Linked DNA regions of Ovis aries. The protein of the gene in region 6 interacts with the protein of the main gene of each other region in a pairwise test. Links are inferred from orthologs where the notes say so. Each region holds a gene or a part of one and is shown on either strand. Other genes may lie near its edges.

Evidence for each region.
Region 1: the proteins of TRIM23 (region 6) and NEK6 interact in binary tests that used the Homo sapiens proteins (3 or more experiments, as listed by UniProt). The link is inferred for Ovis aries from reciprocal best matches to the Homo sapiens genes TRIM23 and NEK6.
Region 2: the proteins of TRIM23 (region 6) and SORBS3 interact in binary tests that used the Homo sapiens proteins (3 or more experiments, as listed by UniProt). The two-hybrid records come from large-scale screens. The link is inferred for Ovis aries from reciprocal best matches to the Homo sapiens genes TRIM23 and SORBS3.
Region 3: the proteins of TRIM23 (region 6) and KLHL42 interact in binary tests that used the Homo sapiens proteins (3 or more experiments, as listed by UniProt). The two-hybrid records come from large-scale screens. The link is inferred for Ovis aries from reciprocal best matches to the Homo sapiens genes TRIM23 and KLHL42.
Region 4: the proteins of TRIM23 (region 6) and BAG1 interact in binary tests that used the Homo sapiens proteins (3 or more experiments, as listed by UniProt). The two-hybrid records come from large-scale screens. The link is inferred for Ovis aries from reciprocal best matches to the Homo sapiens genes TRIM23 and BAG1.
Region 5: the proteins of TRIM23 (region 6) and TROAP interact in binary tests that used the Homo sapiens proteins (3 or more experiments, as listed by UniProt). The two-hybrid records come from large-scale screens. The link is inferred for Ovis aries from reciprocal best matches to the Homo sapiens genes TRIM23 and TROAP.

The regions. Positions count from the first base shown.
Region 1 is NC_056056.1:11,506,180-11,509,679, forward strand, and holds part of NEK6 (serine/threonine-protein kinase Nek6), read right to left. Parts: intron 2,019-3,500; coding exon 1,908-2,018; intron 1-1,907. UniProt on the Homo sapiens protein: Protein kinase which plays an important role in mitotic cell cycle progression. Required for chromosome segregation at metaphase-anaphase transition, robust mitotic spindle formation and cytokinesis.
Region 2 is NC_056055.1:43,085,711-43,089,210, forward strand, and holds part of SORBS3 (vinexin), read right to left. Parts: intron 3,009-3,500; coding exon 2,815-3,008; intron 1,768-2,814; coding exon 1,704-1,767; intron 1-1,703. UniProt on the Homo sapiens protein: Vinexin alpha isoform promotes up-regulation of actin stress fiber formation. Vinexin beta isoform plays a role in cell spreading and enhances the activation of JNK/SAPK in response to EGF stimulation by using its third SH3 domain.
Region 3 is NC_056056.1:187,628,290-187,631,789, forward strand, and holds part of KLHL42 (kelch-like protein 42), read right to left. Parts: intron 928-3,500; coding exon 734-927; intron 1-733. UniProt on the Homo sapiens protein: Substrate-specific adapter of a BCR (BTB-CUL3-RBX1) E3 ubiquitin-protein ligase complex required for mitotic progression and cytokinesis. The BCR(KLHL42) E3 ubiquitin ligase complex mediates the ubiquitination and subsequent degradation of KATNA1.
Region 4 is NC_056055.1:37,884,422-37,888,583, reverse strand, and holds the start of BAG1 (BAG family molecular chaperone regulator 1), read right to left. Parts: upstream 2,801-4,162; coding exon 2,746-2,800; intron 2,695-2,745; coding exon 2,005-2,694; intron 150-2,004; coding exon 21-149; intron 1-20. Other genes in the region: CHMP5 (charged multivesicular body protein 5), read left to right, coding at 2,893-2,961, 3,759-3,863. UniProt on the Homo sapiens protein: Co-chaperone for HSP70 and HSC70 chaperone proteins. Acts as a nucleotide-exchange factor (NEF) promoting the release of ADP from the HSP70 and HSC70 proteins thereby triggering client/substrate protein release.
Region 5 is NC_056056.1:136,912,021-136,915,977, forward strand, and holds the start of TROAP (tastin), read right to left. Parts: upstream 2,801-3,957; 5' UTR 2,600-2,800; coding exon 2,542-2,599; intron 2,463-2,541; coding exon 2,308-2,462; intron 2,216-2,307; coding exon 2,029-2,215; intron 1,351-2,028; coding exon 1,193-1,350; intron 1,104-1,192; coding exon 966-1,103; intron 774-965; coding exon 691-773; intron 213-690; coding exon 160-212; intron 1-159. UniProt on the Homo sapiens protein: Could be involved with bystin and trophinin in a cell adhesion molecule complex that mediates an initial attachment of the blastocyst to uterine epithelial cells at the time of the embryo implantation.
Region 6 is NC_056069.1:14,049,208-14,053,487, forward strand, and holds the start of TRIM23 (E3 ubiquitin-protein ligase TRIM23), read left to right. Parts: upstream 1-1,480; 5' UTR 1,481-1,526; coding exon 1,527-1,607; intron 1,608-4,280. Other genes in the region: TRAPPC13 (trafficking protein particle complex subunit 13), read right to left, coding at 737-782.

The DNA.
Region 1 (3,500 bases), on a different chromosome or scaffold from region 6:
CTGGGTCAAGGTTGGCCCAGGGTAAGTTGGGGTGAGGGGAGGCACCACCCCAGGCCAGGTGCAAAGGATGCTGGATGCCACCACACCTCCCTCCTGTTTCTCCTGGATGGAAGGAGCTTGCATCCAGGCCCTGCAGCTCCCGAGCGGCCCTCCCCGATGAGGCCCCCACAACTGCAGTGGAAACTGAGGTTCAGGTAGGGGAGGGATCTATAATTTGCCCAGCACCCCCAACTCCCCATTGTCTGACTCCAGCCCCCTCCATGAGCTGAGAGGCTGTGAGGGAGGGGGTTTGAGGGCCATGGGGGCTGACAGGGTGCAGCACCCTGACCAGACAAAGTGCTCTGTGGACCCTGGGCTTCTATCCCTCTGGGCTCTGGCACAAGCTATTCTGCCTCTAGGCTTGCAGGTCTCCCCTCAGGTCTCTGCTAATGTGTCACTTCCTCCAGGAAGCCTTCCCTGCTAACATGTCACCTCCTCCAGGAAGGTGGTTCCACAGACCCTGAACTTGGCTTGTTCATGGCTGTGCGTGACTGCTCGTTCATAGGTCTGCTCTCCCATCAGAAGGCGCGCTCCCTGAGGGCCGTGCCTAGGCCAGCAGCATGGGGGTGGGCACAGAGCGGGTCTGGATGCATGGTATTCAGTGAGAGAATGACGCAGGAAGGAGAAAAAGAGTGAGGGGAGCGGGGGAGAAGTGAGATGTGATACAGCACATCTGTTCCCACCAGGGATCTGCGTGGAGATTAACATCCCTGCAAACGCATTAATATGTCAACGAAAGTATAAAAGCAGGTGATAACAGCTCAAGTAATGCTGCTTCCCAGAGACGCCCGTATTCCTAGGAGCCAAATTTCAGAAGAGCAGGTACCGAGCAATCATTCAATCCCCAGTGCCTGGTGGGAAAGACGCAGCGTCTATGACCGTCTGCAAGTATGGCTGGGAGCAGAGTGGGGGCTCGAGCATGGCCCAGCCCCGCTCAGGGACAGACTGGGCTCGGGGGAGGAGCGATGCAGGCCCACCAACACGGTCTGTGGATGAGGGTCCAGACAGCCGGGGAGTGAGGACCTTGAGGGAGGAGGGGTGAGTGAAGCTGAGCACGCTGGCCCAGGGATCCCATTTAGAGACTGTGCTACCGCAGGCAGGTGACAAAACCTCTCTGAGCCTCGCTATTTAAGGATAGTATGGACTCAGTGAGTGAGGCAGATGCTCAGCACGGCTGTGACCTGCAGTGGGTGCCCCATCGGTGGGGCTGTGATGGTCCCCGTGTCCAGGCTCAGGTGGACCCAGTCCTGGGCTCAAGGCGGGGGTGTGAACGGGCAGTCTGGGGGCTGCTGTGGGACTTGGCAGGTTGCTTAAAATCTCTGAGATCCCTGACCTCGCCCATTATATGGGAAGGAAGATGTCTCTCAAGGGGTGAGGGGCTCAGGAAGGTCCCCTGGGGATGATGCCACCGGAGGGCCACTGGAAGCAGAGACCTGGGCCACAGGCACGGGTCTGTCCCCATGTTGCTGGGGATCCTCAGGTAACTCTTCCAGCCTCTCTGGGCTTAGTTTTCCCTTCTATAAAATGAGGCAGAAGACACTTTCCCAGAGTCTGAGACCTGGGGTCTGACCTACAGGGGGTTATACCCCATCCCTTCTGCGAGGCAAAAGTGGCATGAGCCCATGGGTGGGCTGGGGTGGTGAGGGACCACAGATGGGTCTTTTCTGCCTGTGGCTGACCCTCTCCCAGCAAGTGTGGATGGGACCATAACTGAGGCCTCTGGGCATCAGCAAGGGGGGTGGGGGGCGAGTGTCCTTGAGTGGCTGCCTCTGCCTGAGGCCAGAACACTGGGGGATCTGGGCTGAGGTAGGGGGGCACCTGACCTGGGCAGTCCCCCGAGACCCAGCTCTCCCGCCAGGCACCCTCACCTTGATCATCTGTGATAGGTCACCCGCATCCGCCAGCTCCAGCACAATGTTCAGCTCATTGTCCTCAATGAATGAGTCCAAATACTTGATGATGTTTGGATGGTTCAATTGCTGCCCAAAGAGAGAAAAAGAGGGAGATGGAGTCAGTGAGAGATGATACAGTTGGAGAGGCGAGTATCTGGGGGGAATGGCCTGCAGACCTGGGTGACACTGGGAAAGCCATTTTGCATCCCTGAGCCTCAGTGTCCCCCTCTGTAAAATGGGCATAATCTTTTGCAGAGAAACTGTGAAGATTACACGGGCTGATACCCCTGAAATATCTACATGGTGACCACTTGCAGCTAAGACTCAACAGACACTGTGGAAATGACCCTTTTCTCCCTCCTCCTCTTCATCATCAGCACCACCCAGGCCCCTCCAGGGTAGGGCCAGGCCCCCACCACTCCACCTCTGTACTCAGTGGTCCTGGAATACTTGGAAGTGTCCATCTCCTTCCTTCTTCCTTCCCACTTTCTCAATTTCTGACCCACCCTTTGTGAAATCTTGAGAAAACATCATTCCTGGTGTGAGAGCTGCCCTGAGCATGGTGCTCAGTGATGAAGCCCTGATTCTGGCCTGATCACCGTGGCCCGTGTGATCGTCAGATAGGACTGCGCCCCACTGGCCGGAAGTCAGACCCTGCTCGGCTGACAGGAGACCCTGGCATTCCTTACGACTTAAACTATACCGAAATGACCCCAGGATCTAGGGAAGGCAGAGGGACTCAAATATTCTGCCACAGCATGGTCAGCCTGTCCAGCGGGGGTCCCACCCAGAGGCCACTTGAAAGCACATTTTTCCAAAGGCCCAGAAGGTGCTATGTGAAGGGCACGTATTTATGCTGCGCCACTGTTCCGCCCCTCCTGGCAGCCTCTCACTGGTCCTGGCATGAACAGCATGAATGATGCCGCCCAGTGGCCCCTCTAAGGACCGTGCTTCTTTCTGTTTTGTAGGAAACACCCCGTGCCCTGGCACATCCTGTTGACTTCCCACAGGCAGGCTGGCGAGGTGGGTCACGTTCTGCAAAGGGTCTGGCCTGGTGGCAGAGGTTATAACCATGGCAATGGGGGCTGCTTCTGACCAGATGCTACACTGAGTCCTTTCAATGCATCTTCTCACTAATCCCACGACAACACCTCTGAAGACAGCACTCTCGTCATCAACCCCTTAGACAGATGAGAAAACCAAGGCCCCAGGTGGTCAGCAGCTTACCCACGGCCCCAGAGCTAGTGAGCAAGGGGTGTATCTGCCTGCGAAGCCCACAGCTGACTACGCTCAGTGGCACTGCAGCCTGGGGGCGGGTCAGAGCCCCCGCACCAGGCAGGCCTGGGTCATGCCACCTGGGGCGGCCTCACCAAAGAGGCTGTGATCACTCAGTTCTGAGCCCAAGAACCAAACAGGCTGGCTCAGTGTGCACACGTGTACAATCCCTTACTCACGTGAGCAACACACGTGTGTTCTTGGCCACGAGTAGGGAGACAGGGGTGTGTGATCCAGACAGCCACTCCCCAGGGCTGGGGAATCAGAGTTTCAGGGATCACAACTGGGTCCAAA
Region 2 (3,500 bases), on a different chromosome or scaffold from region 6:
TCAGCAGCAGCCTGTCACAGAGGTTCATGTCCTCCTTTAGAAATTTCTTGTCACTTGGCTTCAGGGAGACTACTCTGGTTTTCCTCCTGCCTCCCAAGCTGCCCCTTCCCAGGCAGCCTAGTTGATTCCTGCCCATCTCTCCAAGCAAGTGCTTCAGGCTCAGTCCCTGGGCCTCTGTCTCTCCATCTCCCTCGGTGATCTGGTCCAGTCTTCTAGCTTAAAAAATATTGCCTATTCCAGGGACTCCTAACCTTAGTTGTACATCGGAGCTACTTGGGGGACCTTTACACCAAAAGTCTCTTTGAGTGGGTCATTGGTATTTCCATCTGCAGCTTAAGCCTCACCCTAGGAAATACAGACCTGTTTATCAGCTGCCCAGTGGCTCAGTGGTAAAGAATCTGCCTTCAATGCCAAACATGCAGGTTTGATCACTGGGTGGGGAAGAGCCGCTGGAGAAGGAAATGGCAACCCACTCCAGCATTCTTATCTGGGAAAATCCCATGGACAGACAAGCCTGGTGGGCTATGGTCCATGGGATCGCTAAAGAGTCAGACATGACTCAAAAACATCAACTGCCACTTGTTTGAACCGTATCTAAAATGGAACGCCCCTTAGACTTGCACACACACACAACCCCTCCCTGCCTTTCCTGTGTGTATATACACTTATAAAGGGCAACTTCATAGATTCACTCAGGTTTAAACTCATCCCTGACTGGTCTCTTTCATGCCACATCCAATCCATCATCAGATTACCATGATTCTGTCTCCAGAATTCCACCAGGCCCGCTGCTACTGCCCTGATCTGAGACACTGTCGTCTTTAGCCTGGATTCTGGCCAGACCTCCTGACTGGTCCCTTGCCTCCACTCGGCCCCATCTCTTCCCCACCTGGCAGCCAGAGGGAGTCACTTCAGCCACCACCTGTCAGAGCCTGTCACTCACTCTTCAGCTCAGAGCCTCCCGGGGGCTCCTCAGTTCTTGTAGAGTGAAAGCCCAGGGCCCTGGGTGACCTGACCCCAGCATCTTTGTGTTCCATCTCCATCACGTGCCCCTCTCACTGCAGTCCAGCCCCTCTCTGTGGCCCCAAAACAAATCTGGCCTGCTCTGCCTCTGGGTTCCCCATGCTTCCCATGCAGCAACACTCCTCCCCCAGCCCTGCAGGGACAACTCCTTCACAACCTTAGCTCTCAGCTCAGATGCCATTTCTCAGGGGCCTTTCCTGACCAGCCCACGTGAAGTGGCAGCCTTCCTGCCCTGGGCACTCTCCTGACCTTTTCTCCCTAGCCCTTACCACCATCTGCCATATTAAATGTCTATGTGTTTATTCTGTGATGCCTTCTGTCTCAAGCTTCACTAAGGCAGGAACAACCTTTTTTTGTTCTCTGTTTTGTCTTTAGCACCTAGAATAGTAGTCAGCAAACAGCAAGTGCTAAACACATGGTTAAGGGACTGACTGGACCAATGTGTGACTGCACGGCTTCCCAGACCCTCACTGGGGATAGTGTCTGGTCAGTGTTCCCCATACAGGGAGGAGATTGGCAGTTCCCTCCTTTGGCCTGTTTTAGCAACAACTCACCACAGAGCCTAGGGTGAGTGGAGACACTTCTCAGACAGGTAAGTCCCCTTGTCTACCTCTCGCTCCCCATGCCCCAGAGGCCCAAGCCCACTAAGGCAGAGAGAGGGCCCCAGAAGAGGGTCTCACCCGGCATTTTCCGGTGGATCTGCTTGAACATTCTTCGATACCAGTCCCTGGGGCTGTCAACACTCTGGGATCAAAGAAGGCAAAGTCAGGCCACCCTCCCAACATCAAACCACAGACATTTTTCCTCGTTGGGTCTTTTCTCTGGCCACCCTTGAAGCCTCCCTGGGTGGGCTGTTGTGACATCTTTAGTAACAATACCTCCGTGTCGTCTGTTATGTTTGAGTAAGATATACAGAAGGGGGACATCTCTGGTGGTCCAGTGGTTAGGACTCAGTGCTCCCAATGCAGGGAGCATGGGTTCAATCCCTGGTCCGGGAACTAAGATCCCACATGCGTGTGGCATGGCCAAAAAAGTATTTTTTCAATTATATAAAAAAAAAAATACCCAGATATATGGAAGAATCTCCACCAGTGATGACCCTTTAATTGTGAGATCTGGGGTGGCTTATATATGTTTTTTTCTTTCTATGTATTTCTGATGATTCTACAAAGAACATGTGTTTCTATGTAATGAAAAATAAACAGTATTGGTGGGGGGTAGGGTAGGAAGGTATTTCACATCCTCTACCTCACCTGTGACGCCAAAGAACCTTGGGAAGCAGAGGGCTATGTTACCCATCTGAGTTTCCGATAAGGAACTAGAGGCAGACAGCTGGCTCAGGGTAGGCCTGGGAGTGATGGAAGGGCAGGTCCTCCCAGCATAAATCCTTCAGATCCTCCAAGCTTGCTGCTCCATCAGGCCTCACTCAGGACTCTTTCATTCACCCATTCAGTCAGTCACTTACTCAGCAACAATTTCACCAGTGCCGTGCCAGGCCCAGGGCCATGAATGGAGGAGCAGGGCAGTCCCTGCCAGGGTCAGCCCTTACAGTAGTGGCTCTCTACCATCGAGAACCTATGGGGTAGTCTAGTACTGCTCCCCTCCGCCAAAAAAAAATCACTTGTACAATTCAGACATGCCAGAGTGCTCATAATTTTATGGGGCTCATATCCCCTGGACCCATAATGGTTGAACCCCTGCTTTAGTTATGGGAACAGCCTTTGTGTCAGAGGTGGAACTCAGGGTGGACCCCTGGGCCCCACCTATCAGCAGCCCCAGTCCTGGACTCACAGATCGGGGCGCAATTGGCATGCCGCTCTCATCCACAGGCCCGATGCCCTCATACTTGACCCAGCGCTTGTCGCGCCGTTTGCTGTCCTTGGTCCATGTGGCTGACCACTTCTGGGAATGCTGGGAGGCAGGGGTCTTCTGGTTCCCAGGGGGCCGGCTCCCAGGGCCCGGCCAGGTCTGATACCAAGCAGGGTCTGTGGGGTACATGGAGAGGAGCTTCAGCAAAGGGCCCCACCTAGGCTTGTTTGTCCCTCAGCTCCTCAGACCACTGAGCCCTGTGGGTTCAAAAGTTTCAACAACCCCTTGTTTGTCTAAGTTGATGACGCAGACTCTACAAATGTCCTCATCCTTGGCAGGACCACAGGGTTCTGTTTGTTTACTTTTTAATTAAAATGAATGAAAATGGATTTTATCTTGAGAAATCTATGCCTGTCCCTACCCCACCCTGCTTTGTTGGGGATGTCCTCAGAGTTTTTAGAATGAGAGCTGGAACTGTCACACGCAGAGAATGCTAGAGGCATCTCTAGCTGGGGAAGACAGTAGGATGTGGCAGAAAAGGGCCCGGGGCTGGGGGCAAAGACCTGAGTGCAGATCTATTGGCTGTGTGTCTTAGGCACAGCAATCAACCTCATTGTGCCTGTTTCCAACTTCTGTAAAATGAGGGTAGTCACAGCAGAGCTGCAGGG
Region 3 (3,500 bases), on a different chromosome or scaffold from region 6:
TTTACAGCCCCATGGACTGTAGCCAGCCAGGTTCCTCTGTCCATGGAATTCTCCAGGCAAGAGTACTGGAGTGTCTTGCCATTCCCTTCTCCAGAGTATCTTCCCGAGCCAGGGATCGAACCCACGTCTCCCCCATTGCAGGCAGATTCTTTACCATCCGAGCCACCAGGAAAGTCCAGAAAACACATACCTATGGTTTAATAAGCAGCACAACCACCTCCCACTGCTGGTCAAGAAAGAACACTCTTCGTGCTTTTGTTCCTCCTATGATACCTGAACAGCCTGGAGCTGAATTTCTGAAATCTGTATCCCATATGTTTGTGCCCAAACACAAGGGAGAAAGTGAAAAGAAAGACCTGCAAGGATGCATTGGCGCTAAATTCCAGTGTTAGACAAGGCGGGTTCAGTGTACATTTAAGAGAAAGGTAGGAGTTATCCAGCCAAGTCACAGATGGCTGACTACAGGGTGGGATTTCCAGAGCAGGAAGAAGAAAATACATGTTTTCTTCACAGCTCCCCCCACACCATGCAATTTTCATGTTCATACAAAGGCATCAAAGACCCCTCTTTGATGTCCCAAAGGATGCTCTTTTTTCCAGATATGTAAATATACAGTAAGCAATACATAACATCAGGCTGGTGTGCACTAGAGGGCTTCCTCCAGTCCCTCCCGTCCTCCCCCAGGCTGCCAAAGCTCGCATGGAGGAGGACCACTTTCCAGGCCTTCACTTACCTCTGGTAGTGTATCCTCCAATGACATAAATTTTCCCCTTACACTCACACGCAGAGAACTCAGCCAGAGGGTTTGGTAAGGGTGCCACGAAATTCCAGGCATCCTGCTCAGGGTTGTAACACTCAACATTAGAAACGGCCTGCCCACCAATGGCGTAGAGTTTGAAATTAACAGCCACGAGCTTGAAGTTAGACCTGCAAGAGAGAAGCAAAGGCTCACAAAGTCAGTTCTTCTGATCACTCAAAAGACCATGGCACAATCTGCTAAAGCTGTGTGTGGAATCTGCTGGGTATTTGAAGGAAATGAGCTCTCCAAGCGGGGTGCTGTTATGCCTGGGGACAGAGGAATGATGGAATAGCATCCAAGATTTCACCCATCCCCAAGAAGCCACAAGAATGCTGCATTCTCCAAACTTTAGCTGTTGAAGGTAAGCAATTCAATTTAACAAGGACTAATCTTGCTTAGTTTAAACCTAGAATCAAAGATACTTTGTATATGCTAAACTCAAGACCTCTGTATCCAATCAAAAAATAATATAGTTGTAAAAAATACTTCATTCAGAAACAAAAAACTCACAACACTGTAAATCAACTATACTTCAATAATAAGTAGATTGATTAAAAAATAAACTCAATACTCTCTCAAGAGTGGGAGCAAGTACCCACTCTACTCCCTTGCCCGTTTCTACTCTCAGGGGGTAGGCTCCATCCTAGGTATACATCAGCACTGCCTACACAGACAAGCACATGCTATATGTTTTCTACAGGGTGGTCCAAACACCCATTTACCATGAGTTCACTCAAGCAGATGGCTCACCCATCCTCATATGAGGGCATCTTCTACATTGCTTTGTAACATACAAAGTAGAGGGAGGTAAGCACTGAACTAAATAGAAATATTTTGATCTAGCATTTGATCTCAACAAATAACAGATATCAACAAATGCTCACCTATCACAAGAGTAAACAATTTTAAAAAGAGAAATGTATTGCTTTTAAGATTCATATTCAGTAATACAATTACATTGCTTATTGGCTTCAGATACTAAATAAAAGTCTCATGACTTTTGGATAGAAAAGAAAAAATTAATTTCTTTCACTGTAGTACAGAGATTAATGGACTCCTTGAAGGCCAGGAAGGATAAGCATTTGGAAGTGCCGGGTGAGTTGACTGGGATACATGCAATGGTCTCAACTTCGCACTCATACAAGCAGCGGCACAGAGCTGCAGACCTGGTTCTGGACCTACTCTGGCGATAACCAGCTATCTGCCCTTCGTCTCGAGTGTGTCAAGCACACCCATCCCAGGGCGGTGGAGACAACCACAGCACACAGCATATCAGAAAGTACCAACACAATGCTTTTGTCGAAAGTAACAATGTCCTACTAAAGAATGGGGGTGCAGAGGCTCTAAATGTTCAAATGGAAAAAAGCATGGAAGAGGGTAGATTAAAAAGCGGTAATGAACAAGTAGCCATGCTGGACAGATGTTTAATAAACAATGACACATTATGATATGGAACGTATGTTCCTAATAGCCACCTACTAAAAAACTAGGATTTTTTCAATGGTTCCTGTAATGTTTACATTTAAATGAGTTTTAGCTTAGTTGTGTTTTTCAAATCAGAGAGTGAACAGAGTACTCTTCATCAAGAACCTCACACTGTCCATTAAACCCAATCGGCCATTCAGTTTTTCCTGCCAACAGACTTCACCGGGGTGGCAGTTACTGGGGGGTCCCTGATTCACGGTGCTTACCTTTCCTGCTGCCAGTGGTCCTTAAAATCTGACCGTGATGCCCTCTCTATGTGTGTAAATTTGGGGAACCAAAGGAAATAAAGCTTGTAAATAAGCACTAAATTTTACCAGCCCACAATTTGTTTTTGTTCCCCAAAGGTACACAGATAGTAAATTTTGTAAGATCAAAACAGTGTTTGCTATTCCTCCAGCATAATCACTTGTCCTGTGCAATATGTAAGGGACTTCTTTCTGAGGCTGAACGAACAGGCAGTTAAAAGTAAACAACTCCATCTCTCCAGACCCCAATATGCTCAAATTCACTTGAAAAGAGAACGTTTTAAATATTGAATTTATGATGAAATTGCCACCCAAACACAGGCCACTTGATGAAGAGGCAGACGGCCAAGGATTATGAACCCAGGCTTGTATGGGGAAGTCTCAGCCTCCTGCTAAACAGCTCTGTGACCTTGAACAAGGCATTGAATCTCAGCTGATCTGAGTCTCAATTTCCCCACTTGTGAAGGGGGGAAAAGAACAACACATTGTTAAGAGTTAAGAAGGGTAATCTACAGAAAGAGATCACTGCCTGCATGTCTCTGCGCGTTTCTTAACCTCAGGAGGATTAGTTTCTCATCGGGTAATTGCAGCCATCACAGGCTACAAAGTACAGCCTGCTGGATTTCTGTACAAAGTACCCTCATGTCCATAAATTCTTGCCCTTTCCCATTCTCTGAAAGTAAGTCTTCCATTCTTCACATCCTGCAGGGTAAAGGTATGAATCCAAGATAGCAATTACTTTAATTATCATTTTTATAGGGTTTTTCCTAATACTGATCCTTGACATCCTCCATTCAGAAAGCAAAAAGGATTTTTAAATCAAATAATTATTTGCTGTAGCTACATACTTGACTTAAACAGTGGATAGAAATGAAAGTGAGAAAAATTAGATGGTGATCTAGTCTCTACTTCACTTAGAAGAAATTAAAAGCTCTTGAAATCCTTCAAAGTTAAGTAACATGAACTATGCT
Region 4 (4,162 bases), on a different chromosome or scaffold from region 6:
GCTGGAAGAGAAAGGCTTACCCTTAAATATGAGTTTCTGAAAAGGCAGCGGAACCCCTGTAGCCTCTTCAACAACCTGGGCCAGGTCTTGGACAATTGGCTCACTATTGCCTTCTTGTGGGGTAACTTGAAGATCGTGTTTCTCATTGCCTGGGAAGAGAGAAAAGTGTTGAAGAAAACACAAACCAATAAACAGAGGCTGACACTTCATTTTCCCAGCCTTTAAGACCTGCTCAAGGATTTTTGTCTCCTTGGGAATTGTTACAGGAACTAATAATATCAGTGATATCAGCTAACATTTTAAGCATTTAACATGTGTAAGGGGCTGACTAGACTTATTTTGGAGAAGGAAATGGCAACCCACTCCAGTATTCTTGCCTAGAGAATCCTGTGGACGGACGAACCTAGTGGGCTGTTGCCTATAGGGTCGCACAGATTCAGACACAACTGAAGCAACTTAGCGTGCATGCATGCACTGGAGAAGGGAATGGCAACCCACTCCAGTATTCTTACCTGGAGAATCTCAGGGACAGAGGAGCCTGGTGGGCTGCTGTCTATGGGGTCGCACAGAGTCAGACATGACTGAAAGGATTTAGCAGTAGCAGCAGCAGCATGCTTATTTTATGCATAACCTTAATTAATCCTCAGAACAACCCCATGAAGTACCCATGAAGCTGGTATTACCTATTATTCCTCATTTCACAAATAAGGAAAATGTGAGATCAGTCCAGTTAAGACTTGCCTAGTGGGACCCATCTCTACAATCAGAACTTAACCTCAGATCTATCTGATTTCAAATTCTGTGCTTTTCTTTAAAGCCATTTGCCTCCTCTGACCTGACTGTCCTCTCCTCTGTGTTGTACTGGGTGAGGAACTGTTTCTATCTCCTTTGCTATAATGCGCAAGGAACTGCTTTTCTTCCAGGTCTCTCCCACTGGGCACACCTGGACACATACGGTTGGTGCCCAGAAAATAAATGAGGGGGACTTCCCCGGTGGTGCTATGGATAAGAATCTGCCTGCCAAGGCAGGGGACACAGGTCCAGTCCCCAGTCCTGGATGATTCCACATGCCATGGAGCAACTAAGCCTGTGTGCCACAACTACTGATGCCCGCATGCCTAGAGCCACCCCAGTGAGAAGCCCGCACATCTCAAGGAAGAGTAGCCCCTGCACGCTGCAACTAGAAAAAGCCCGAGCAAAGCAACGAAGACCTAGTGTGGCCAATAAATAAACAAATGAGTGGAAAAACTCAAACAGCAGAAATTTCTTTTTGGAGCAGAGGTGCCAATTCTTTTCTGGATATGTGGACAGCAAGGGCGTAGCCTGTGTCCAGTGCCTCACGCCAAGCCTTAAGCCTTCTTAACAGCCATGAAGTCAGCGGGACAGGTGTTACCAACTCTATTTTGCATAGAAGAAACCAGATGCCTAGAAAGGAGACATCCCAAGGTCACCCAAATGTGCAGAATCCTGGTCTCCAGGTTCTTGAGGCCCTGGGGTCTCCCCTAGTTGGTTCTGAGGAAACCTTATGTACTCAGCTCCCTGGAGAACCGTCTTTGCCTAGTTCTGTGTCAACTCCAACAGTAAACAGACCCCAAGGGTGCCCAGAGAGTACGCTGGAACCCACGCCTCACTTAAACAGCACACATGAGTTTTGACTCCTGCACACAAGTAGATGTCCAGATACACAGACATAGACAACATGGCTAAATACAAGCCAGGCACAAAGGCCCACAACAACTGTGCAGGCACACCCTAAGACATACAACTAGGACCACGACGTGAAGCATCAAGGATCTAACAAATGGCCTGAGACAAAATACACCTGCCACGTGGAAAGGTGTGTTGACAGACCAGTAAAAAAAAAAAAAGCCGGTCCCACAAGATCCCACTCTTCTGGACTCCAAAGACAAGGACACACACTTCGGGAGGGCACGCGACCAAACCCAGAGACCACGCCGGACTTTCGCGGCCCAGCACGGAGCCCACCCGGCAGCCCACGCTCACTGTGGGTGACGGTCACGCTGAGCCCGGCTGCCGCCATTTCCTCGCTCCCGGCCACCTCTTCGCTCCGGGCCACCTCTTCGCTCAGGGCCACCTCTTCGCTCCGGGCCACCTCTTCGCTCAGGGCCACCTCTTCGCTCCGGGCCACCTCTTCGCTCAGGACCACCTCTTCGCTCGGGGCCACCTCTTCGCTCCGGGCCACCTCTTCGCTCCGGGCCGAGCGAGGCCGTGCTTTCTTTTTCACCCGCGGCCTGCGAGCGCAGGCGGCGGCGCCTCTGGTGGATCCGGCATGCCCCCTGGTCACGCTCCGGACGGCTGATTTCTGGGAGGGAGGCGGACCTCGCTCGGCTGGGGGCACCGACTGGCGCGGCTCCCGGCCCGGCCGAGGCGCGCGCCGCCGGGGACCCAGCCGCTCCCGGTCGCCTCGCGGTCTTCGCGCGCCCCCGCGCTCCGCCAGACCCGCGATGGTCGCCCGCCCAGCGATGGTAGCTAGCGTGGGGCCCTCCACCCCAGTTCGGCTACTTCCCCGCCCCTCCCGGGCGTACCGGCTCCGCCCCTCGGAGCAGCCCCGCTGCAGCCGGGCTCTATTCCTCTGAAGCCGCCCCCTACCCCACCCACTCAGCCGAGGCCCCGCCTGGCTTATCTGGGGCCACGCCCACGCCCGCCACCGGAGCCACGCCCCCTGCCGACTCTCTGTCCCTCACCTCCAACTTCCCGGAGCTCCCCTTCCCCGGAAGATCAGGCTGAAAATCCGGAAAAAGGATCGGGAAACGCCAATAGGCACATTGCGCTTGCGCATGGGGGGCCGGAAGTCAAGTCGGAGAGGGAGGTGACTCTGCTTCCGTTTCTGGTTTTGCTCCAGTGTTTAGGTTTTCTTAGCGGCCGCCCAAGATGAACCGATTCTTCGGGAAAGCGAAACCCAAGGCTCCGCCGCCCAGCTTGACTGACTGCATTGGCACGGTGGGCACTTAGACTTGCTAACTAGGCTCAGGAACCCTGACACCCCTTAACCCGTCCACCCCCGACTTCGGCGTCGACTCCTGGCTCCCGGGCCCATTACAGCTTAGCTCTCTCCATCCCACTTTCGTTCCTGTTACCCAAGTCATTTCTGACGCCACAAACCAGGGACCCCTAACCCATCATTGTTTAACCCTACTTGCGCCCCACCCCCTCTGGTGCTCAGTGCCGCGTCCACTCGGCCTAGACACCCTTACCACCTCATCCAGCCCTACTCCTCCCTCCTCTTCCGTCCCTCATCCTTCTCCGACGTCAGGAATCTCGGCTTGATATCCTAGCTCAGTATATCTGTAACCCAATCCTGGATCTGTTACACAAAATTCAGAACTCTAGCCCCTATCATTAGGCCACCACCTTCTATCCAAGTGAATGGCGTTAGCTCTACAGCCCTAGCCGAGGTCCATTGGGCAGTAACTCGTTTCATACACTTTCTTATTGAGCCCTCTGCTGGCCTAGTCACCAATTCTTGGGAAATTTCGACTCAGTCGAGTGATTCTCAAATTCTTTTTCTGCTCAAACACTTGAAGATGCCCCTGGAATATGAGAATCTAGGGGGGTGGAATACAGTTTAAACCCCACCCCCCAGGATTTCGGAGAATCCCGCCTCCCCACAGTTAGGAATTGCTGTTTTCAACCTTCACCATATGCTCTTTGTTTTTCCTTTCTTCCTCTATTCATTCCTCTCCTACCACTTTTGTATTGCAATAACTTCCACTGCCTATAATGTTTTTCCGCTGAAGGTGGACAGCAGAGCAGAATCCATTGACAAGAAGATTTCTCGGCTGGATGCTGAACTAGTGAAGTATAAGGATCAGATCAAGAAGATGAGGGAGGGACCTGCAAAGGTAAGGTAGACAGCTCCTGCAGAAGTTGTGACACCTTGATTTGAGTACCTGTGGAAGTAGGGCCTGTGGTAAGGGCTGGTGAGAAATATAGAAGAGATGCTCACAGTCTGGTAAAGCGAAAACATATGTGATGTTGTGTCCTTCAGGGAGGAGAGTTTGCAGCAGGATATGAGAGGAAAACTGGGCCTTGACCTGGTGGAGAGATGTTGATCACACATCCAGAAACATGTATCTGGGAATTAGCATACTCTACTGAGAAGGCGGCAATCTGGACAGGACAGGCTGGGCCTGCTCAGACT
Region 5 (3,957 bases), on a different chromosome or scaffold from region 6:
GACACAAGTGCAACCGGGCAAACCTCTGGCCTATGAAGAAGGTCTCTTCCTCCTCCTGATCTGGCCTTCCTGCCACAGCCCTCCCGAGCTTTCTCTCGGTTTGCTCCCTACAAGCAGGCTCCCAGCTAACGTTCTCTCTCCATGGCCAGACACACTCACCAGGCTCCACAGAGGTCTCCGGAAGGGATCCTGAGGGCTGGCTCACTGAAGTCCTGAGGACAAGGACAGTGGCAAGCAGTCACTGAGCACCACATATGAGCTGGGCACCATGCAAAGTGCTTTACAAACATCTAATTCTCACAACAACTTCAAATGATGATACAAACATTGTCCTCATTTGACAGACTAAAGAAACTAAAGCTTGGCAGGTACGGCAAGCTTGAACAACTTGTAAGTGCTGAGAGTCAGGAATCAAACCCAAACCCCATTTGTTCCCACAATCTAAGCTCGAGCCACTACACAAGGGATGGTACCTCTCATTTCTTTCCCCTTCCATCCCTCACAACCTGAAGAAACTGATGCCATATTGAGGCTGAACTTTACTGCAAGGGTTCACCCTGGGCATTCACAGATTTTCCCCTCTCCCCGCCCCCAGGCTGGTGGGAAGTCCTAAAGCTACCAGAGGGCCCAGCCCTGAGGGACCCCTGTACAGACACTGAAGCACTCTTTTCCAAATGACCCCCTCCTTACTTGCTGCTGCCACTGGTCTCTCTTCTTAGTTCCTGGAAACAGGGAGGAGCGGAGGGGTGAGAGGATGATCCTGAAGGTGGAATCTGAGCCACACAGGAGCAAGAGAAAAAGGAGAGTCAGAAGCAGGCTCCAAACCTTCAGGTTTCACCACCAACCCCATCAGCCTCCATACAACCCCTCTGCTTACCAGGCGGTACCCTCCATCCCAAGGCCCAGCTGTGTCCTTAGAAGGAGTCCCCAGGAGCACCTAGTATCAGCCCCTCAAGAACACTCACCAGAGCCTGCAACCTCTGGGGACACAAGGTCCGACCTCTAGGCCCTGGTCCCTCCAGCCTTGAGAAGCAGGAAGCCCTGACAGGGTCCAGTCGATGGGTAGGGGTTCTGGGGGCCAAATATGCAGAGGCCCGGGCATCCTGGGACCCCAAAAAAGACTCTCAGTACAGACTCAGGATTCCCTCCTCAGCCTACCCCAGCCTGATCTCCTCCTATCCCGGCTCATTACCTGACCCCTCCGGATGGTGCCTCCCTGGCTCCCTCGAACAAGTACTCTCTGAGCCAGACTGGGCTGGCGCCCCAGGCGACAGCTCTTCACCCCCTCACCTGACAGGATGGTGGCCAGGGCTGCAGGGTCAGCCACAAACTCTACGGTCCCTGGAGCCTCTGCAAGGGAAGAAGAAAAGGAAAGGCGAGGAGGGACAGGAAGGAGGGGAGGCTGAGGGGTTGGGGAGCCTAGCATTGTCACCTTGAGGTGCATGAGCCAAAGAGACTCATATAACTGAACTCAGCTCAACAAACATTCACAGGACTTTAATCTGCATAAGACACTATTCTAGACACTGCCACCCAGAGATGAATACGACAAAGCCCCCATCCTCAGGAAGCTAACATCAAACTAGAGCAAGGTAACAGATTCAAGTCAAAGTATGGACATATTATAAAAGAAGTGCAGGGAATTCCCGGGCGGTACACTGATTAGGACTTGGTGCTTTCACTGCCTTGGCCCAGGTTCAATCCTTGGTCCAGAAACCAAGATCCCATAAATTGCATCTAATAAATGAATGCATTAATTAATGGATAAATGAATGAATAAACAAACAAGTAAATAAAGTTCAGCAAATCATTAGAACAAAGAGCAATTGATAGTGACTAGAGGAGCCAGAAAAGGCTTTAGAAGTGATGACACATTGCTGAAGAAAAGAAAGGGCCTCTAACAGCAAAGAGCTTTCTAGGAGCAGGGACTAGGAATTATAGTAAGCAGGAGAGGCAGGATTACAAAGCCCCCAAACCCCACTGCACCAACCCATTCTCCCACCCAGTTCTACAGCCTCCAATAGATACCTGTCTGGGGAGGTGGCCTAGGGCCCACATTTTGATCCCCATGGCTAGGCCTGAGCTCCTCCAAGGGGTTCCGGAGCTGAGTGCTCCCCAGCAATTTCTCAGATTGCTCTGTCTGACGTGTGGCTTTCAGCCTGGGGCCTGCTGAGTCTGCGAGGGGGCGCTGAATATTGAGCTTCTGCCCCAATCTCTAGGATAGGGGAGAAAAAAGCTGAGCTCAGCGTTGAGGTGCATTGCTGCTTCCTTGTAGCTACTGTCTTCACTCCCCCAGGCTCCTCTTACCTTTGGATCTTGGTTCTCCTGGTCCAGGGCGCTGGGTTTGACTGTGGGGAGAGGTGGGCGTCTCTGAGAGCGAATGGGAATCTTGCTAGGAGTGGGAGATACACCCCGGAGGAGAGGATCCTTCGTGGCTTGGAGGGTGGTCATGACGACTACTCCTGAAAAGGAGAAAAAAGGATCAGGGATCAAAGGTCAGCCAGTTCGAGGTTTCGGTCCTGACATTCCAGATACTCCTACCTCCGCCCAAATCCACGCGCCAGAAGACCCGCCGCCTACAAGGGCGCTTCTCGGTCATCTCCTGACACTATGAGCCTACACTTTCGTCCCGGGACCCCGAACTGCCTCTCTTCCCTACGAGCCCCGGCAGCCCTCATTCCCTCCAAGATCTCCGTGCCGCACCTCCCCCTGAACCCCTCAGGGTCTCGCCCACTTTCTTCGCTTTTTCCCGGGACTCTCTCGGCCTCTGCTCCAGGTACTTCCCCAGTTTGTAAAATACGCCAAGCTCCTGATTGGCTCGTCTGCGCTCCCGCGGAGGCGCGTGACGCAGGATTCAGCTATCCAATCTACAGGCTTCGGAGGCGGGGCCAAAAGAAGGACTAGTTGCCGAGCCGCTTTCTGGCCAGGAAAAAAAAATGACCCGACTCAACCAGCCAATCGGAAAGCCGAGCGCGGGGTGGAAGAGGAAAGAGGAGACAGTTCTGAGGTCCAGGAAGGCGTCTGCTCTGAGTCTGGGCAACAACGGGCGCTGGCGAACTCTCGCGAGGTCTCGGGACTGGTGCGGGAAGGTCCAGTCGGCCTTGTGGAAGGGCTTGCGTCCTGAGTGAGGCAAGCTGACGGTGTTGGAGGCTGGCCCCAGCCCCTGACTCAGCTCTGATCAGAGTTAGGCCGTCAAGTTTTGGGGACCCTGTCCAGACGCTTTGTGGGAAAAGTCTGCCTGGGTCGAGGAGCTGCCTCCAAACGGGCGGAGAGGTCTGGAGAAAATTGAACTAACAATAACAAAAATGAAAGGTTACAGTGAAAAAGAGAAAAAAGTTTTCCTTTTTCTCTTGTCCTTTTCTGAGTTCTTTTTTTTTTTACTCTAACTTCCGGATCTGTAGTCGGTAATCAAGGCTAACTTGATATGTAAGCTACATTCTATATGTATCTCCTTTAAACTCTAAATGAGCTACATTGTGTACCTGTAGCTTCTGTTAGTTACATTCTAACTCAATGCTAATCACATCCTGTGTTTAGTGCTCACCTTTACAGCAGTCTTTGCAGAGCCCCCCTTGTAGTTCTCTCTCTCTCTCCTTTTTTCTTATACTACAGAAAGGAGGCCACAGTACAATTCATGAAAGACAATGGACCCAACTGCTGGGCTACCTTACACCGTGGAGAAGGAAATGGCAACCTACTGCAATATTCCTGCCTGGATAATTCCATGGACAGAGGAGGCTCGTGGGCTACAGTCCTTTGGGTCACTAAGAGTCGCATAGGACTTAGTGACTAAACAACAACAGCCTGACTCCAGTCTGTTACTGTTTTTGAAACAATGCAAGAGGAAAAAAAAGACAAGATCCTTACACATTTGTTCCACATTGTTGTAGCCACGTGTTCCAGGAAACAAACTCACTCAGAAGGACAATGCAGATAGTGGAGTGCCGTTAATTACAC
Region 6 (4,280 bases):
TAATCCAATCAAATAATCAAACTTACTCAGAACTGTATGCTGTATATAGAAAATGAAACTTGATGCGAATTTTCCCATACACAATACTCTGAAGTAAACTGCAGTGAGTTTTAACAAACCTAAATTATATGTTGTAGTACTACGCATTTCTAAATGCTTGGCACAATACTAGACTAATTTCACTAAAGCTGAAGCCTGGTAAAGTTGTCACTGCCGAATGAAGAGACAAGAGACAGGGGGAAAAACCACTTTAGATACCCGCTATTAATCATCTCGGTTCACACAGGTCTCTCCCCGGGTAGGGTGGGAACTTCAGCATCTGCGGCTAAAATCTGTTTGGTGGCTTCAGCAACATATAACAGGGTAAGTAATTTACCAGGTATCTATTTCATTCTAAGATGAGTAGGAAATGGCAACCCACTCCAGTATTCTTGCCTGGAAAATCCCATGGATAAAGAGCCTGGCGGGCTATAGTCTATGGAGTTGCAAAGAGTCGGACATGACTGGTTGACTGAGCACTCATATTTCATCCCGTCGCAGGGGTCTCAAACCTAAAAAGTGAAGAATAGCTTCCTCTCGCTCCACGGCAAGAAACTGAACAGGAGGGCGAGCACTGACTGTTTAAGAAGGACGAGATCTACATCCCAGGGGTCAGGTCTACGTGCCAAAAGCTGCAAGAATTAGTGAGAAAAGGGGAAAAAACAGCGTAGAGGAAGCCGGGTTCGCAAAAATTTACCTTTCAGGGCCAGCAGGTGCTCCTGTTTGGGGGGATTCACCTCCATTTTGACCGGCACTTTGAACCCACTGCCTACGGAGGCTGAAGAGGTTCACTTAGCTCGGAAGAAAACAGAAAGCCTAAGTTCCGGAAGACCGCATCACATTCCCAATCGTTTCTTCTCTGCTGGTGGTGCCTTAAATTCTCTTACCACGTCCTTTAGCGACTCAACGGCTTCCTTTTACCAAAGCCATCTCTTGCCTCTTAGAGATATACATAAAATACTTCTCTATTTTCCAGCCACAATCACAAACCGCGACTTCAAGAAATCACTCCTCGGAGACAATACGCGGCCCTGCAAATACCTACATCTCCCAGTAACTGCTGTAAGATGTGGCATGCTGGGATTTGTAGTTCAAAAGCCGCAAAGCCTGCAGGGAGATGAAGTCCCCTTTCATCCAGTGCGTTTTACAACTGGGGAGAAAAGGTCTTTACTGGAACAAGAATTTCACCCCAAAACCTTACTTCTGTCTTAACCCTTATCTTTTGCTTTAATTTTACTCCTCTCATCAAATTGGTAGAAGTCTGACGGAGACTGAAAATCTCCAGACTCTTCAATAAAAATAACAAAGCTCCCATTCGCAAGCCTCTGCTGGCGTCAAAAGGTGCGAGGAAGCCTCCTCGGCGGGGCCCGGCGTCGTAGTGCGCCTGTGCGCCAGCGGCAAGCGCCGAGGCTTCTGGGTAGGTGGCTTTACCCCGCCCCTCATGTGAAGGCCTTCTCGGCTGCTTCAGTGGCGAGGCTCCTTCTGGGATGGCTGCTCTGGTTGTAAACAAGCCTGGAGCGGGACTAGACAGTGGTCGTCAGGGCAGCCGGGGGACGGCCGTGGTGAAGGTGAGGGACCTTGCGTGCTCTGTTCTCCGCCATCGGCCTCCCTTCGGTTCATCCCGGAGATCTGGCTTTTTTTTGGGCGGGTTGCGCGGACTCGGGTCCCTCTCCGCTTTACAAGCCTATGCTTCCCCTCCGGACCTTTATCCCTGCAGGCTTGAGGTTACCGGGTCTCCTGGTCATTCTAGTCTTTTGTAGTCGCCAACGGGGACTTTTGTGAAAAGGATCCTATGGGCCTGTGAGAGTGACCTGGGCTGATCTTTCCTCAGGCCTTCTGTTTTTAGCTAAGCCCAACAGACATTAATAAGCTTATTTTTATGAAATTGATCCATTATTATTGACAGATACTATCTTAGATATTTTACCTCGTTAATATCTATTTATGAAGTAATTGTTGATTCTAGTTTTACAAGTGAGGAAACTCAGGTTTCGGTTAACACTGTAGCTGAGCCAGAATTGACTGCTCTAAAGTATTCTTTTCGTTAAAGCACTACTTCTTTTTAATCAGACCTCTGTTATTGGTTGACCTGCCCTCTCCTCTTTTGGTAGTACGGGTGTTCAACAGCCCCGTTAATGCTCGGGAATATCAATTACCCTATGTTTGAAGTTTGAAATTCTGCCATGTTTAAATGCTCTAAAATGGGTTTACCAAAAATTCAGTTGAAATAACCGTAGAATCCACTTTTCCGTATATAGATAGATCTGGAAGGGAGAACTGATCTTAATAACCTTTAGAATCCCCTGTAATCTCAGATAGTGCTAATTCGTATTCCTGGCTACATATTACTGAGGACTTGAAAAAAAAAATACAGACACACACAAAAACGATTTAATCCCCTAGTTCAGCTTAAGTTGTTATCAGTATATTTTTTTGCATTCCCAGAATACTTTTAATGTGCAACTAGGGTTCAAAACCATTGAAGGAGATATCTGAAATTCTTTTAAGATCTTGAGTAATAGGCACCTGTGATTTTTCATCTAACGTTGGTTTCATATGACAACGAATGATACATTTTTGCCTTCAACTATATTATCAATCGGTATTGGTGGTTGTTGATTCGTCTTTTAAATATTAATAAAGTTATTTTGAAGATACATAGCATATCTGAGATATGAAGCTGCCCTCATTATTTGGCTTGTATGATTGAGATTTTATTTATTGAATTGTGCTTTTTCTAAGTAGAGAATACCTGAAGATTGTTTTGTGAAATAACCTGAATTAAGAAGTAATAGGAATGTATATTACTACTGTCTCTGCTTTTGTTATCTTGTTTGTCTTAAAATCTGAAAAATATACCAAAACCTGATGTAACTCCAGTTTATTAAAGCACAGAGATTGGTAAATTAGAGGCTCATTTTGTTAATTTTCATTTTTATCTGTAAAACGTGACTGAGATGTGCAGTAGGATAGTCCTTTTTGGCAAGAGCCTCATGCGGTAATTTGTAAGATAAATTACAAATCAAATTAAAAAAAATCCTCATGGCCATTGTTACAGATGGAAGTAAGAAGTGTTCATTGGAAGGTAAAAGTTGAAGTATATAATGCTAATGTTTGTATCTATAAAATGACTTCCTGCTTTATGAACGAGTTGCTAGAGTTTTCTTGTTAGGAAAAACAGACAGAAATTGGATATGAAATTATTTATCTCCACAAAAGAATAGTGAACTGCCTTCAGTTCAGTTCAGTTTAATTGCTCAGTTGTGTCTGACTCTTTGTGACCCCATGAATCGCAGCACGCCAGGGCTCCCTGTCTATCACCAAATCCCGGAGTTTACCCAAACTCATGTCCATCAAGTCGGTGACGCCATCCAACCAGCTCATCCTCTGTCATCCCCTTCTGTCCCGTCCTGCCCCCAATCCCTCCCAGCATCTGGGTCTTTTCCAATCAGTCAACTCTTTGCATGAGTGGCCAAAGTATTGGAGTTTCAGCTTTGGCATTAGTCCTTCCAATGAACACCCAGGACTGATCTCCTTTAGGATGGACTGGTTGGATCTCCCTGCAGTCCAAGGGACTCGCAAGAGTCTTCTCCAACACCACAGTTCAAAAGCATCAATTCTTCAGTGCTCAGCTTTCTTCACAGTCCAACTCTCATATCCATACATGACCACTGGAAAAACCATAGCCTGGACTAGACGGACCTTTGTTGGCAAAGTAATGTCTCTGCTTTTGAATATGCTATCTAGATTGGTCATAACTTTCCTTCCAAGGAGTAAGTGTCTTTTAATTTCATGGCTGCAATCACCATCTGCAGTGATTTTGGAGCCCCCAAAAATAAAGTCTGACACTGTTTCCACTGTTTCCCCATCTATTTCTGATGAAGTGATGGGACCAGATGCCATGATCTTCATTTTCTGAATGTTGAGCTTTAAGCCAACATTTTCACTTTCAGTTTCATCAAGAGGCTTTTTAGTTCCTCTTCACTTTCTGCCATAAGGGTGGTATCATCTGCATATTTGAGGTTATTGATATTTCTCCCGGCAATCTTGGTTCCAGCTTGTGTTTCTTCCAGCCCAGCGTTTCTCATGATGTACTCTGCATATAAGTTAAATATCAGGGTGACAATGTACAGCCTTGATGTGCTCCTTTTCCTATTTGGAACCAGTCTGTTTTTCCATGTCCAGTTCTAACTGTTGCTTCCTGACCTTAATCCTTTGAAAATATGGCCTCCTTTATTAAA